2 linked regions of the Medicago truncatula genome follow. The protein of the gene in region 1 interacts with the protein of each later gene in a pairwise test. Links are inferred from orthologs where the notes say so. Each region holds a gene or a part of one and is shown in the gene's direction. Other genes may lie near its edges.

Region 1 (8,271 bases):
CACATGTTATTGTAACAAATTATTTAATTAGGTCTCGTTAATTCAGGCGAAGATGAGTGCATACTGGGGGTTGATAATTAAAAGTATTGAAGAGAAGAGTGAAAGATATTTTAGAGTTTAGAGGGGAATTGTGGTGACATGAAAAAAAAGAAAGAAAGAAGTATATAGTGGAATCCGCGTCCACTTTGAAGTGTGAATGACAGCAACCACCAAACACATAAATACCAATTGATTTCTCTAGCTAGCTACCGTCACTATCCAATATCCTCACTCACCATGAATTTTCTTTTTATATAAATAAATATATTTGATTGGATTCAATTTAGGTTAAATACTTTTCAAATAGATAGCGGTTGCACTTTGCTAAATTGAACTAAAGTGGGACCAAACATGCATTGACTGAGCAGCTTGCTAGCTAGCTAGCTCTGAGATTGATATATATAATATATATAATGTTGGGTTGCTAGATACCTTGTCCAATTAATCAGGAAATTAAAATACAGTTCATGTGGCACTAGATATATCCACATGTATATATTCTTAGTTTATCAAATAAATAAAAATAAAAAGAGTCTATATATAGATATTGAGAAGGGTAAGGTGTCAATTTGAACATGACATACATATAAGTAGCAAGGCATGTAGTATGTGGTATTAGAAAAAAGGTAGTAGCAAGCAGTTAATATGTATATGGTCCACTTCTCTGCACAGCAATGCAGCTCTGGCATGCCCTCGTGGACAGGACAGAGCAAGTATATTTGTGTCCTTCGTTTATTTTTACTTCGGCATAATACCAACATTACATATTGTTCCACTTCAATGCAATGCTTTTTTTTTTTTTTTTTTTTTTTTAGGGATACTTCAAGAGCAATATTTGTTTGAACATAATTGTATATATATAAATTATTTAAGACATACACAATTGTATATATTAAAAATACTTTAAGAACAATGCTTTTTTATTTTACTGTTTTAGGTTTTTAGTGCATATAAAGTAAATTCTTTTATAATCAAATTATTGAGGTAAAATGGTTAATAAGTTTTACCAAAAGACTGATTGTTCATGTGAACATGAATGAAACATATATAATATATTCAAACAAAATATATTTTTATATTATTATTAATATAAGGTACATTTTGAATTATTTGAGTTTCTTTTTTTTTTTTTGAAAGAGAATTATTTGAGTTTCTAACAAATACAGAACTCTAGGAGCCTCCCCGAGGTTATTATATATAGAACTCAATGGTGGACTTCACCTCTTAATTTTATTAGGCCCTTGTTGAATATAGATAATTGTGTTCTGGCTCTGTTAGAATTTTTATTACAAAGTGTTTCCATGAAAACTATCAAATCCCAAGCAATAACTTATTACAATGTGTTTCGGCTCTCTTAGAATTTTTATCGTATGTTTATTGGAGAAATTTTAGTTTGTTGAAATGGACAAAGAGTAAACATAAAGTCAAAGTTTTGAACGAAAATACAAGAAGATGCAACAATAATCACGGATATGAAAAAACTCTGAATTGCGAAACACATTTGTAGAGCATGACGAGCTTCATCGCACTTCCTATTAATGAGAGTAGTGGAGAAAATGTACTTTTCCCGAACATGTTATATATATGAAGACTTAAATTTGATAGAGTATCAGCCGACGAAGAGCAAATTTAAGGTGTTTGTCGATCCACAACGCACAATCTATCTAACTCACTAAAGTAACTACTACAACCGAGTTTGTCATTGGAGTGGTAGTTACTGAGTGACTACTACTTCAATGACAAAAAAAAAGACTTTGAATGAAAATGACGATCAAATTTTATGGTTGAATACTTAATTTTTGAAGCATACTCCCAACCAAAAACAAACTCCAAGTTTTTTGAACTTTAAGTATACCTTTCATGGTCTTTTAAATCTTTTTTTTTTTTAATTTCAATTCATAATACTTTATATTTTAAGTAATTTTACCTTCGAAAGCATTATATTTCAATTCATTTACTTTCTTGGCCTTTTATCTTTCAAGTTGTTTTTAATTTGATCGTCATTTTCATTCAAGTCTTTTTTTTTTCTTTAGCAATTAGACTTGAAACCGTTTTCAACCTATTTCAACCATAAAATCCAAATCTAATTTAGAGATATTTCAACCTATTTCAAAAACAACCATCAAGCCTATGAGTCTACTTGTTAACTTGTTCGAACTTCTGCGGTCGCACAAAATAAAACAATTAGTGTGTTTTGAATTTTGTTGAATTTCTTTAGACAAAAAAATCGGTTATAAACAATATGATAATAAAAAAGGTGTTGAGATATATATAGAGGGAGGCAAGGTCTTGAGTGATGCAGACACAAGTCAGTAAGTTTCTGAGTATATAGAGAGAGTTTTCTTGGTGTGGGGGTGAAGTGTTTTTTGATTAAGAGAAAAAGTGTCAAGTGTAAAAAAAGTGTTAAGAAAGAAAGAAAACCAGTGTTATTCCAAAAAAGATGTGTGACAGTTTTTTATCTTTGAAAGGGAAGTTACTATTTTTGATGTAGGGTGAAGTGCACAAAAGCCATTATTTTGATGAAACTAAATTTTATTCTTTTGTGATTGAAATGAATAATTTAATTTGACATAAAATAGAGTTTAAATAAATAAAAAAAAGTGTGAATTCGTTAAAGAGTTGGATAAATATAATATAATGTTGTGAAAAACTATTTAATAATACCAATAGTAGTGGGAAGCGGCTGACCACCGTAAGACCACCAGAGTTCCACCTCCAATCATTGTGGGATTGCTGACCGACCACCACCAATGATCGGGTGTCAAATGAGTGCCCTTATGTAGGACGTCCATCTACCATTACTCTTTATTTCTTGTGTCCATCGTAAATATTTGTATTTAGTTTACATATTTTTACTGAATCATTATGCTTGAACACCTTAATTTTCTCAACATTCATATAAGATTTAATTTTCTCTTTATCACTCTCTTTTTATCATATTGCTAACATATCAAATCTATTTAATCACATTTTTTTTCCTTTCTCTCTTAAGATGTTGAATGAATTTGCGGTAAATAATTATGTAACAAATATTTAGTTTACATTAGGATCACCCTCACACAATAAAAAAATAAGGAAATGTTATAAGTTTAAGGAAGTATATTTATCATATTTTCTTCCTAGTGGTGAGCTTAATTTTTTCTTTCATCGAAATTAAATAGTATATATAAATATATATATAAGTTTGATTTTGACTATAATCAAATATTACTACTGAGTTTAGAGTCGTTATCAAGGATTGAATAGAGCATTTGAAAATTTGTCAACCTGTCGGTATGTTAGTCTTTCCCTTTATTGGCATGTAATTTGGCGACAAGAGCTTTTACATATGCGGTGTAAAAGCCTGAGGACTCTCACGTGGGCACTTTGTATTGTGTCCTAAAATTATTTTCCCTTTTTTTTTTTTTATAGAAATTATGTTGTGCATTTATTGAATTTTTTTATTTTATAAAAAAACAAATAAAAATTATAGAGTAGGTAGGATGTCGATTTTCAATATTGTTTTAAAGTTGCCAATAATAAGAATGTTTATTATCTTTATATGTAACCTAGTTGATTACAAATTTCTGTGATTAGCTCTTAATAAAATATTAATAGGGATCTTCAATTCTTACAATATATTTTAATCCCTAGTTGCATTATGTCAAAGAATTTGGATTATATAATGACAAATTAAGGTGAAAAGCAAAATGTATACATCGGTAAATAGGATTTTGCGTTGAATTTGTTATCCTTGTTTACTTTTACAGCTATACGGTCTCAATAATTTATATTTGATGATATGATACTATATACAATTAATTCAGAAAGGAAAATTGACCTATTTTCTGCTAGGGAAGGTGTTGTACGTTTGTCGTTATGCCTGCATTGCCCTTGCATGTGATAAAAACAGAAGCAACTTCACTGTATTTAAGACTAACTAAAAGTACAACTGATAAATTTTTCTCCTACAATTGATAATTCAATGTCTTGTTCAATACAAGGAAAGCTAGCATTTTTGCTAGCCTTATTTGTTTCCATTACATATATATGTCACAAATAATATCAATCGAACTGTCAATTTAATTGTTATTATTATGAGCTAGTTTAGTTCTATGAGAATAGGGTCTCAAAAAAAAAAAAAAAAGTTCTATAATAAGAAACTATATAGATAGCCTCTTCTTAAATGCAAAGAAAATGAAATTGGTTTCTGTGTAGTTAATTTAATTTGCTCACATGAGCTGAAAAGGAACAGTGTCAGCCTCAACTTCAAGTAAAGGAAAAAACTCATGAGGATTCAATCGAATTCTAACCAATAAAAATGTTGAAATAGACTTCCCTTATAAACAACACATAGTGACTGCTTGTTCTCTCTGAAACTTTACAAGGATTTAGATCCATTTCCATGTGCTACTTTGTGGTCCTAAGTCTGTAGAAGATAACTCCCAATAGCATCTATTTTTGAGTACCTCTAAAATACCTTATATGTATATTATCTTGTCATTTTCCACAATTGAAATTTTAAAACGTAACCCTTTTGATATCTTATACACTTAGTGGTATTAAATTTACTTAAAAGTGGAAAAATGCTATTTGGTTGATTTGATTGTTAAATTGAAAAAAAGGAGAAATTGATTGAGAGGTTTGGTCGTGTAATGGGATATGTATATGTATGCAAATATGCAATTTAATTAAAACTTTGAATGACTTGTAATAGGTATTTGATAATTATTGACCACGAAACATCCTTAGAGAGTAAATTAAAGTGATAAACAGGAATCTAATTTTGGATACTCGAAGGGATACAGTACTATAAATATGGTTGGTTAGGGACCAAGATGTTTGTAATTACATTAGAAGAATGTATAGTTGATGTGAAATAAACTAAGCAAAACAAAATGTAAACGCTCTCTAATTAGGTCCATGTATTGAGAGAAGAAGGAAAAGCAAAGGGGCAAAGTTGAAGAGCAAAGGTGAAGAAGAAAAGGCAAAATGAAATGATTACATGAATGAGATGGGACCCAATTGATAATATTTCCTTTCCAGGTCTTTCAATTTTATTTTTTTTTGACTTGGGATCGGGTCCCACTTTGGCCACCATTGTCTTTATGGATTGAATGATAAAAAGAGCACCTCACGTGGAGTCTGAACCAAAGACGCTGTCCAACCATAATCAAAAGGGAACAACACAATACTACTCTACTCTCTTCCTTCCATCACACAAAATTAAATTAAATTCAAACAAAAAAAATATTAGATTTTTTTCTACTTCCAGCTTAAATCTTCATCTTTCCATACAAGCAGAATGATTAAAATCTAAAAATATCTTCATTAAAAATATAAAAAATAAATAAATCCCACTCATCAGTTATAATGAAAAAGCTCATGAACACCACAACTCAAGAAAGCAATTTCTTTTCTGGAAAAAATCATGCTTTTTAAAGCTCACCCATATAATTCCCACTCATTATCTTTGTTGCTTAAAGCTCTTCTCCTCCTTATCTCATCTCTCACTATCTCTCTCTCTCTCTCTCTACTCTTAAACTTAACCACATCAATTCCAAAGCAAATTCCTTCATTTACCTAAACAAAGTAACAAATATAACAACACACCCATATCTCCCCCTCAAAATGAGAACAAAGACCCACCATACATATTAAACTACTATAACCTCACTTATCATACACAACAACACAAGTCTCTCTCATATTCATATATCAAACTCACTTTTATTTTTTTTATTTTTTTTTACTATCCATGCGATCATGGATGGAGGAGATGATCTCCACCACCATCACCACCACCAGCACCATCAACACCACCACCAACACCAACAACAACAAAGACAAAATTTTCCATTTCAACTTCTTGAGAAGAAAGAAGATAACCAAGAAGCAGCATCATGTTCAACTTCTTCTCCATATCCATCCCTAGCAATCTCACCAACAGAACCAAGTACATCAAATTCAAACCGATCCAACCAACTAGTCCCAGCATCAACACCAACAACCTCTGACCCTGCCAACAAAAAACCTCCTCCGAAAAGAACTTCCACCAAAGACCGTCATACCAAAGTAGAAGGCCGTGGCCGCCGCATCCGAATGCCGGCACTTTGTGCTGCTAGAGTTTTTCAGCTTACACGCGAACTTGGCCATAAATCTGATGGTGAAACCATTGAATGGCTTCTTCAACAAGCTGAACCAGCTGTTATAGCCGCCACTGGTACTGGAACTATACCTGCTAACTTCACATCTCTCAATATCTCACTTCGTAGCTCAGGCTCATCCATGTCTGTTCCATCTCAGCTAAGATCTTCTTACTTCAACCCGAATTTCTCACTTCAACAACGAAGAACTCTTTTTCCTGGAATTGGTTTATCTCCTTCAGATAACAACAGCAACAACAACACTTCAATGCTTTTGAATTTCCAATCAAATAACCTAACAAATATGTTGCAGGCTAAACAAGAGGTTCGAGATGGAAACACAAACTCAAACGCTAACGCGAACGCTCCTTCTTCATCAACCACGTTAGATTTATCTGAAACAAGTGGAGAAGAATCCATGGGAGGAAGAAAAAGAAGAACTAGCAGTGGTGGCAGTGAGCAAGATTTATCATCATTACAACATCAAATGGGGAGTTATCTGATGCAATCAAGTGCAGGTTCAATTCCAGCAAGTCATACTCAGATTCCGGCAAATATATGGATGGTTGCAAATTCTAATAACCAAATAATGAGTGGTGGTGATCCTATATGGACTTTTCCGTCAGTGAATAATAGTGCTGCTGCTTTGTATAGAGGAGCAGTTTCAACTAGTGGTTTGCATTTTATGAATTTTCCACAACCTATGGCTTTGTTACCAGGTCAACAATTAGGTAATTCTTCCGGTGGTGGTGGTGGTGGTGGGAATATCAATATGAATATGAATATGAATGAAGGACATTTGAGTATGCTTGCTGGTCTTAGTCCTTATCGTCCGGTTTCCGATCATCATCAACAACACCATCAACCAAGTGGATCACAATCACATCATCATCGCAGTGGTAGCCATGAACACGATGATCGACATGATAATTAATCACAGCTCCTACAAGATCATCATCTTCTGCTTCTTCTTCTTCTTCTTACATTACTTGTCTAGTAGTTTGATTTGATGATGTGTTTAATTTTAACACACACGTGAGGTTTGTTTGATCTTATTCTAAATTGAGTTTTATTGTTTATTAATTATTATTATTATTATTCCCAAAATTAATTTTTTGGTGTGATTAAGATTTTGGAAGAGAGAATGAATGATTCAGGAGAAGTGAAGAGAAAACAAGATAGTATTTTAGGGTTTGGAAGATGAGAGTCACTATTTAATTAACAATTGGGGTATTTGGCTGCCTGCTTTACTTTTTTTGTTCTTTTCCTCTGGCAAAAAAAAAAAATGTGTTCCTTGAATTATTTCAGTTCACTACTGCTACTACAGGATATCTTATCATCATTGTTTGTGCAATTCACTTTTTCTTTTTGAATTTTTTTTACCACGTAGCTAGCTTTTTAATTACATTGCTTTGTATAATTCTATGTTGAAGAGAGATCCAAGAAAGAAAACGACTTACTACTATTTGATTTGATTCCATTACACGACTAGCTGAGTTGAGTTTCCTACCTAACAGGCATTTTTGTTTTCAACATTTATGCTTTTCCTTTTCTTTTTTTCCATCTCTCTTTCTGGGCCACAACAAAGCTCGTGCGGTAAAAGGAATGAAACAGTGTGTTACCCTAAGACTATACTATAGATAAAAAAAAAAAATGTACTAGAACTACTATTAGTAAGTGAAGTGAAGTGTGTTAAATAATGTAAATTTACATTGCTTTTTGATCATTCTGATTCTACTAAATGTGTGACATGAATCAGGAGGTTTACTGCATCAATGATTAAGATTTAGTAAAAGAAAGATGGGATGGGGGGGGGTAATATGGAATAGTACGTAAGTGGGGTCTAAGACCTTATCGGTTTCCAGGTGTTGGCTCAGGTGGTGGGGTATAGCTGCTGGTTATTGCCCAAACCAATGTACAATGTCACTGACAAACAGGTGGATCATTCCCCATCTTCTGTGTTCTTTTTTTTAAAATTTCAATTTTTAAATTAAATGGAGCAGTTGCTGGCATCACAGAAAGAAAGATCCATGGTGAGTCTTAATGACCCTACTCAGATACGGCCCACCATTCCATCAATCAGGACCGTTCTTTTTATGGGCCATAC
Region 2 (8,423 bases), on another chromosome or scaffold:
CCTCACAATTTTTTTTGTTTCGTTTTTAGTATTGAACAGTTTTACATTTTCTTGAGCATAATAATATGAACATACTTGGAGTTGGGCATAATAGATTGGCATAATTTTGACATATCTTGAATATAAAAGTGTATTAATCTTGACATAAAACGAAAACAATCAATTTTTATTTTTAGGAACTAAATTCAAAATTCTCTATAGTTTTAGGGACAAAAAATTTATCTAACATTTCATTATTAAATGTTTGGATCTTACTAACTTGTGCTTGTGCTCTAAAGGCACGTAATAAGGATTTCAAAAGGAGAAATTTTGTATTGATATAACACAATTTTTTAAATTTTAAAAGGGAAATGTTAACCGGCGCACTCGGGGCACTGATTAAGGATATAAAAAGGGAAATTATATACTAGTTAATGCATTGAAATTGTGTGATTAATTTATAAAAAAGATCCCATAAAAAAAGGGTCTTGTTAACGAGTGCCCCCGGGACACTCTTTAAGCATGCTAAATTAGGAAGTTATTATTTAAAAAAGTCAAACAATTCAATTTTTAATATATTATTAAATACATAGATTTTCATAAAAAATTACTATCGTAGGCTCTTAAAGAGTATTTGAAGGCATTCGTTAGCATTTCTTTAAAAAAAAATAAAAAAATGATAGCTGGCTCATTCATACTCTACTCATAGCATACGGTAAATAATGGAATTGATGATTAGAAGATGTGCTATAATCAATCCATTTCATTACTTTGGTCTTTTGGGAAGATAGGTCGATTGTGTGAGTTAATGAGTTTGATATAACTGTTGTGGAAACAAATATCTATCTCATTGTCAGAAATTAGAATGAAAACAGTCACATAGGATTGGACGGCTATGTATGTTGTCATCATTTCCATTTACCCCCACTCATAATTCATTCATCTATAAACCAGTCGTCCATTACCATTTTGATTTTTGAGAGCACTGTTGTTTTACCCAACATAATAAGAGATCACAATTTTCAATTGTTTAAATTGATGAAATACTTTCCTTAAAACTCTGATTACAAAGATTTATTTTTAAGAATTATTAGTATTAAGCTATTGTTATTTCACGGAGTTTATAAAATATTCCGAGATTAATTGATGCTGCTACTATATAGTTATTTTGATTTTTTTTGTCTGTACATGATAAATGTTTAACCGATTCCTCTAGGATACCGGATAAAAAAATAAGAGTTAATATGTCTTTATCCCTGTAATTTGGGCGAGTTTCGATTTATCTTGTAAAAAAAATTTATATTCTAACTCTGTAATTTAAGATTTTCTCGTTTTAGACCATGAGGCCAAATAACTGAACAAAATGCTGACGCGGCATGCTGAGTAGCGCGCTAATTGACGATATCTGATTATATGGCATGTTGACTGTATAATTAATTATGTTTTAATTTTTTTAGGGCACACATGGCATTTTGCCTATTTTTTTTAAAAAAAAAAACTGAAAATTAATTTTTGAAAATAAAAAAATCGTGAAAAAACTGAATTTTCTAAAAAAAATTTAAAAATTCTGGAATTGAAATTAAAAAAATATTCAGATTTTTTTCAAAATAAAAAAAATTAAAATTTTTTCTACCAATTTTTTTTTTAAAATATGAATATAATTTTTTTATAATTCAGATTAAAATATGAAATAAAATTTTGAAAATTATATAATCTGAAAAAAGATCGATTTTATTTTAATTTTTAAAATCTTAATTTCAAATTTTTTTTTTTTTTTGAAAATAAATCTGAATTTGGTTCTGATTTTTCGAATTTTAAAAATTTAAAAAAATAAATTCTGATTTTTTCAATTTTGAAAAAAATAAACTGAATTTTTTTCTATTTTTAAAATTAATTTTCAGTTTTTTTTTTATTTTTGAATTGATATAAATGGAAATAAAAAAATTTAAAACAAAATTAGCTTATATAATCAGCGCGCCACATCATCCAAAAATGTTAACTTAGCGTGCCACGTCATCATGTTTGCACAGTCAAATGGTCTCAGGATCTAAAACGAAAGAATCTTCAAATTATAGGGTCTATTTCAAAAGAATCTTTAAATAACATTGTTGAAAGCTAAACTTTTTTTTTACAGAGAGTAAACCGAAACTCGCCTAAATTACAGGGGTAAAGACACATTAACCCAAAAACAAATATATAAGTATGGTATTGAAAAGTGTAGAAAAGTTGTATATTGACTTTTTAAATAAAGTAGAAAGTGTAAACGAATATGATTTTTTTTAGAGGCCAAAATGGAATATCCTAACCAAACTAAATAAATTTTTCCAGCATAAAATATGTCAGAAACAGACTTAAAGAAAGTTTACAATATGTTATAACACGAAACAAACTTCAAAAAGAGACACAAGACAAGTAACAAGCTAAGAACATGAAGACAACACATATGAAGAGAATTAAGCCGTCAGCCGTGATACACAAACACGAAAGTTGCATATCTTGCTTTCAACCACCAGAAAGACTGATACTTGATTTTGTCACATAACACGTGCAAGCTCTCTTGCTTGTGCTGAAAATTTTGCTTGTTCCTTTCTTTCCAAATAACTTAGACTCATGAGAGCCAAATAAGGTTAAGAGCTAAACTTACTTTCTTTGAGGACCTACCTAAATCTTAAAATTGCAAAAGCTTGATCCAAAAGATAGCCCAGATTTACTGTAACAAATATAAGCTAATCTGAAATGAAGGACCAAATTATGCCAAAAGGTTCACATATAATGAATAAGTGATCCATACAACAGCAAAACTCGCTTTCTTTAGACACGGGGGGCCGGATATAAAAAAAATTATATTGAATGTTGTCTTGATATTTTTATCGTTAATAAGCCTTTTCTTGTTGTTAACTAAGAGATCAAAAGTGTAAAAGTAACGCGAAATACATCTATGAAACTAGTAGATATCTATTAATGTTTTTGTTTCTATTAATTTTTGACAAATAAACTCATTTGTAGTAACTAATTATATATTATCAGGGTAGTTAATTGCTTAATATATCCACTTTATTCAAATACAAAATTATTATTTGGTGTAGCCAAAGCTACCCCATTCCAACACAAGGCTTCGCCCCTGGATCCATATCTTCATTCACATCGCCGCCTCCCACACACTGTTGATCATTACCTTTAAGCACATCCCTTATGAGTAAATCACCTTTGATAGAGAATATGATTTAGAAGAAGATGTCGTGCGAAGAGATTAACTTTGAGAGGAACCAAATTATACGAAAGAACATTTGAGGAATGTGTTGGATTGTCATGATTCACAAAAGTAAAAAATTGATGAGCACCACTAGGAAGTAACATTTGGATAATGTAATAGCCAAACCCATTTGTCCGTCGTACCATCTTGCAAAACAATAAAATTTATTAGCTCACTACACTCCCTCGTCTAACCCTCCTCCCACGTCAACAACTACCTACTCCACTTTCACGTCTCTCCTTCCACTCCCCAACCTAATGAATTCATTTATGAAACAATCACTAGTTTAATTTCAGATAAATCATACAACCTTCTGAACCCAACCTTTAACGTCCCTCCTTCTAACCATAAATCTTGCTAAAATAGTGCAGCGGATCCATTACGTCCTATGTTATCGTCTAACCAACCCACCACCACACACACACACACAATATAATCGACCCCCTTTCTATTTGTAACAGGTCACTAACATCCTATACCACAAATTGTCCTTTTTCTACACATTAATCTCCCTTTATCTTCTAACCCCTAATCCAATCTTTTTGTTATTTAAACAGATTAAGTTCCACCTTTTCTCTGTCTTTGGATTTTGGCATCGGGTTATTGGTGGATCGAGTTTTTGGACAGGTTTAGGTGTATGCTCTGGTGGTTCGTGAGTTGAGGGGTGCTTTTTTGACTTGTGTCGTGAGTCTTGTGGAGGTGTATGCTTTGGACAGGTTTAGGTGTACGCTCTGGTGGTTCGTGACTTTTTTGACAGGTTTAGACCGATAGTAAGGACGTGACATACTTTAAGAGAACTAGACGATCATCTAAACTGACATTTGCATCGGTAGTTATCATAAAACAAGATAAAAGAAATATTGAATAAGTGTATGAAATTTATAGATGTTAAAATATAAAAGCTGTGCGATCAAATCACATTAAAGCGATGTTTTCTTACTCACATTAAAATGATGTTGATTCCAATATCATTGTTCATAAATATCTAAAGCATAAAATTTGATTAAATAAATGCATAACGATTTCATAAAAAATAAAAATTACTTAAAAAATGTCTAAATTCTTTTAGACAGTTTAAACACAAATTATATAATGGGTATGAAAAGATTCTACTTTTATAGTATAATTTACCGTCCTAAACCTCACAGTCATTGACTTTTTGTTGTGTATGGTAATTTTTCACGAAACAAAGTTGTGTTGTCGACAAAGACGACCTTCTAGTTTTTTTTTTGAAATTTTGTTAAGTCAATATAATAATATTTAGTTTCTAATATAACTCTATGTAAATTATTATTAGTAAAAAGGTAGTATTACGTCAAGAAGTGTTTAGCTGACAAGACTGAACGCGTGATTCATATTCGAATCCAGGACCTTACAATTATATGTAAGTTTATTTTTAATGGATCATCACTTCATCTAAGACAATAAAGAAGTAGTTTTACATTTTACGCACATACCAGTATTTTTTTTTTTGTGCGAATAATTTAGTAAATACTACCGGTAAGACTATTTATTTTTGCTGGATTACTACCAATAGTAATACAACCTTAATCCTACCAAAAAAGATGCGGTCCCCACTCACAATTCATCTCGAAAGATAAAATCAAACCATGTAATAACAATCATAAGATTCTCTTCCACACACATTAGAGTTTACAGTACTCACTCATAACTCATAATAAAACCCCATCAAAACCACCACATCCTCACCGTCCATTCCTCTCAAATCTTCAACAAATAATCCAACGGTTCAAACTCACTCATCACTTATCTCCACGCGTCTCCACCACAATCACCAATCACAGAATCCCCTTCACTCCCACCACACGACAACACCTATTTAACCATAGTTACTTTCTAACCTCACCACCGTGTGTGTATGTGTTTACAAGTACAATCACAACACAAACTCCTTATCCTCTCTCTCTCTATCTCTCTCTCTCCTCAAGCACTCTTCAATGGCGACTCAGATCTAACTCATCAAAATCCTCTTCGTACATTTTCGTACCACAACATTCTAGATTCTTCTTCATTCTTCCCACCATCGTCATGCAGCAGCAGCAGAAAGTAGCAGCGTTATCGTACTCATTCCCCGAAGAAGTTCTCGAACATGTCTTCTCATTCATCGACTCAACCAAAGACAGAGGCTCGATCTCTTTAGTATGCAAGTCATGGTACGAGATCGAACGCTGGTGTCGCCGGAGAGTCTTCGTCGGAAACTGTTACGCTATCACACCGGCGATGGTGATAAAACGGTTTCCGAAGGTGAGATCTATTACGCTGAAGGGGAAGCCGCACTTTGCGGATTTCAATTTGGTGCCGGAAGGTTGGGGTGGGTACGTGTGTCCGTGGATCAAAGCTATGGCGGTTGCGTTTCCGTGTTTGGAAGAGATTAAGCTTAAGAGAATGGTGATTAGTGATGATTGTTTGGATTTGATTGCTAAATCGTTTAAGAATTTCAAGGTTTTGGTTCTTATTTCTTGTGAAGGTTTCACTACTGATGGACTTGCTTCCATTGCCGCCAATTGCAGGTTTATTTCCAATTTCTCTCTCATTTTTTATTATTTTTTTTATTTTTAATTTTATTGGATTTAATTTAACTGAAATGAATTCAAAACTATGCTTGCACTATGATGAGTGAAATTAAGAATCCAGAATTGTACTTTGGTAATATACCTTTTTAATAAGGACCTACTTAGGAAATTCAAGTTTTTAGCAATTATAAAGGTATATTTGGTTTTAGTGCTGGAAAATTGTATACTTGTTTTTTGTGAGTTTTTATTGAGACAAGTAAATGTGAATCTGGTAGGATAATTAACTTCATTTTTGTCTGATTTAGGGTCTGTTTGGATTGACTTAGTTGAGCTTATATAATAACATAAGTTAAGTTTTGTGAGAATGGATGGGAGGACTTATGAAAACAATTGTTTATAAACTGATTTTATAAATAAACTGCTTATAGCTTAAAACAGCTTGACTTTATTTTATACTTAAGCGTGCCATTATCATGATAAGCTTGTATAGTATAAGCTGCAAATAAGTTGTTTATCCAAACTGGGCCTAATTGTTTTATGAATGCTAGGGTGCATTTAAAATGTTAAATATGTAAAGGTAAATTTTGGGCTATTGTCTTGTGATGATGAAGGTGGTGTGGAGTCTAAATTTGAAGGTTTGGTCTAGTAAAAAAGATTATGGTTTATGAACTGTTGTGCCTGTTTAAACGTGTCATTGACAAATCTACTGTGTTAATGGTAATTGTAGGAATTTGAGGGAGTTGGACCTGCGGGAGAGTGAAGTGGAGGACATTTGTGGTCATTGGCTAAGCCATTTTCCTGATTCATACACATCCTTGGTTTCTCTGAACATCTCTTGCCTAGCAAACGAGGTGAATTTTCCTGCGCTAGAGCGCCTGGTTAGTAGGTGTCCTAACATGCATACTCTCCGCCTCAATCGTGCTGCACCCCTTGATAAGCTTGCAAACCTTCTCCGTGGGGCTCCACAGCTGGTTGAGTTAGGCACTGGAGCCTACACATCCGAGATGCGGCCGGAGGTCTTTACAAACCTGGCTGCAGCATTTTCTGGGTGCAAGCAAATGAAGGGCTTGTCTGGCTTTTGGGACGTGCTCCCATCATATCTTCCTGCTGTCTATCCTGTATGCTCCAGGCTCACATCACTGAACTTGAGTTATGCTACAATCCAAAGCCCGGATCTTATCAAGCTTGTGGGTCAATGCCAGAGTTTGCAGCGCTTATGGGTATGTCTGGTTTATGTAATGTTTTCAATTAATGCATGGGTATCTTCATATGTTGGTTCACTATACCAAAATTGAAATGTAAATGCTTGCTGATTAAGGTTATTACTAATATGTAGGTTCTGGATTACATAGAAGATGCTGGCCTTGACATGCTTGCTGCATCGTGTAAGGATCTGAGGGAGTTGAGGGTGTTTCCCTCTGACCCATTTGGGTTGGAAGCAAATGTAGCGTTGACAGAGCAGGGCCTTGTTTCTGTGTCTGAAGGTTGCCCCAAGCTCCATTCAGTCCTATATTTTTGTCGTCAAATGACCAATGCTGCCTTAAACACAATAGCTCGGAACAGGCCTAATATGACTCGTTTTAGATTATGTATTATTGAGCCTCGAACTCCTGACTATCTCACCCTTCAATCTCTGGATTCTGGTTTTGGAGCTATTGTTGAACATTGTAAGGATCTTCAGCGCCTTTCCCTTTCAGGGCTTCTCACAGACCGTGTTTTTGAGCATATTGGGACTTATGCGAAGAAGCTTGAGATGCTTTCTGTGGCTTTTGCTGGAGATAGTGATCTGGGACTCCATCACGTGCTGTCTGGGTGTGACAACCTTAGGAAGCTGGAGATCAGGGACTGCCCCTTTGGTGACAAAGCTCTTTTAGCCAACGCTGCAAAGTTGGAGACAATGCGATCCCTTTGGATGTCCTCTTGCTCAGTGAGTTATGGAGCATGTAAACTGTTGGGTCAGAAGTTGCCTAGGCTCAATGTTGAAGTCATTGATGAAAGAGGACCTCCAAATTTAAGGCCAGATAGTAATCCTGTGGAGAAACTATATATATACAGGACTATTTCTGGGCCTAGATTGGACATGCCTGGTTATGTATGGACAATGGAAGATGATTCTGCATATCTTGAATGACTGTACTCCTCAATAATGAACATTTGATGTGTGACTTGGTGATGGCAGGTACAGGCTCAACGTACCCTACAATGAATTTAATCTGTTGACCGTCCTATGCTGCTGTTATGGTTGGTTTCTGAGCTAGGTACAGCAAGGAGGTTATACAGTGTACTTAGAAAGCTTGAGCTCGATTGCCATTCAATTTTTACTTTTGGCTGAGCGACTAGATACCGATTCTGATCACAAATAAAACCGGAAATTTGTTGTTGTATGTGGCATAAGATTGAGTTGTTAAAACTTGTTATATAATTTATTTTCGCCTTTTTATTTCAAGGACTTCTGCATAATTTTTATGCATGATACTTTGGTCGAGTATTAAGATATTGGTGGGCTCATTGTTATTATTGACCTTTGCAAAGGAATAAAATCTGTATTCTAGTACATCATTGTTTGTTGTTTGCAATATTGATTATTTCATGTAATTATGCCCTGGCTTCAACGCATGTGAACAAATGAATGACTCTGCTAGGGAGAAGGTTTTTGA

What was found.
Region 2: the proteins of transcription factor TCP15 (region 1) and protein TRANSPORT INHIBITOR RESPONSE 1 interact in binary tests that used the Arabidopsis thaliana proteins (3 or more experiments, as listed by UniProt). The link is inferred for Medicago truncatula from reciprocal best matches to the Arabidopsis thaliana genes TCP14 and TIR1.

Annotation. Positions count from the first base shown.
Region 1 is NC_053045.1:52,946,887-52,955,157, reverse strand, and holds transcription factor TCP15, read left to right. Parts: upstream 1-5,346; 5' UTR 5,347-5,784; coding exon 5,785-7,098; 3' UTR 7,099-7,506; downstream 7,507-8,271. UniProt on the Arabidopsis thaliana protein: Transcription factor involved the regulation of plant development. Binds to the Up1 elements (5'-GGCCCAWW-3') in early light-induced proteins (ELIPs, e.g.
Region 2 is NC_053042.1:43,740,127-43,748,549, reverse strand, and holds protein TRANSPORT INHIBITOR RESPONSE 1, read left to right. Parts: upstream 1-5,104; 5' UTR 5,105-5,281; coding exon 5,282-5,763; intron 5,764-6,493; coding exon 6,494-6,986; intron 6,987-7,102; coding exon 7,103-7,897; 3' UTR 7,898-8,320; downstream 8,321-8,423. UniProt on the Arabidopsis thaliana protein: Auxin receptor that mediates Aux/IAA proteins proteasomal degradation and auxin-regulated transcription.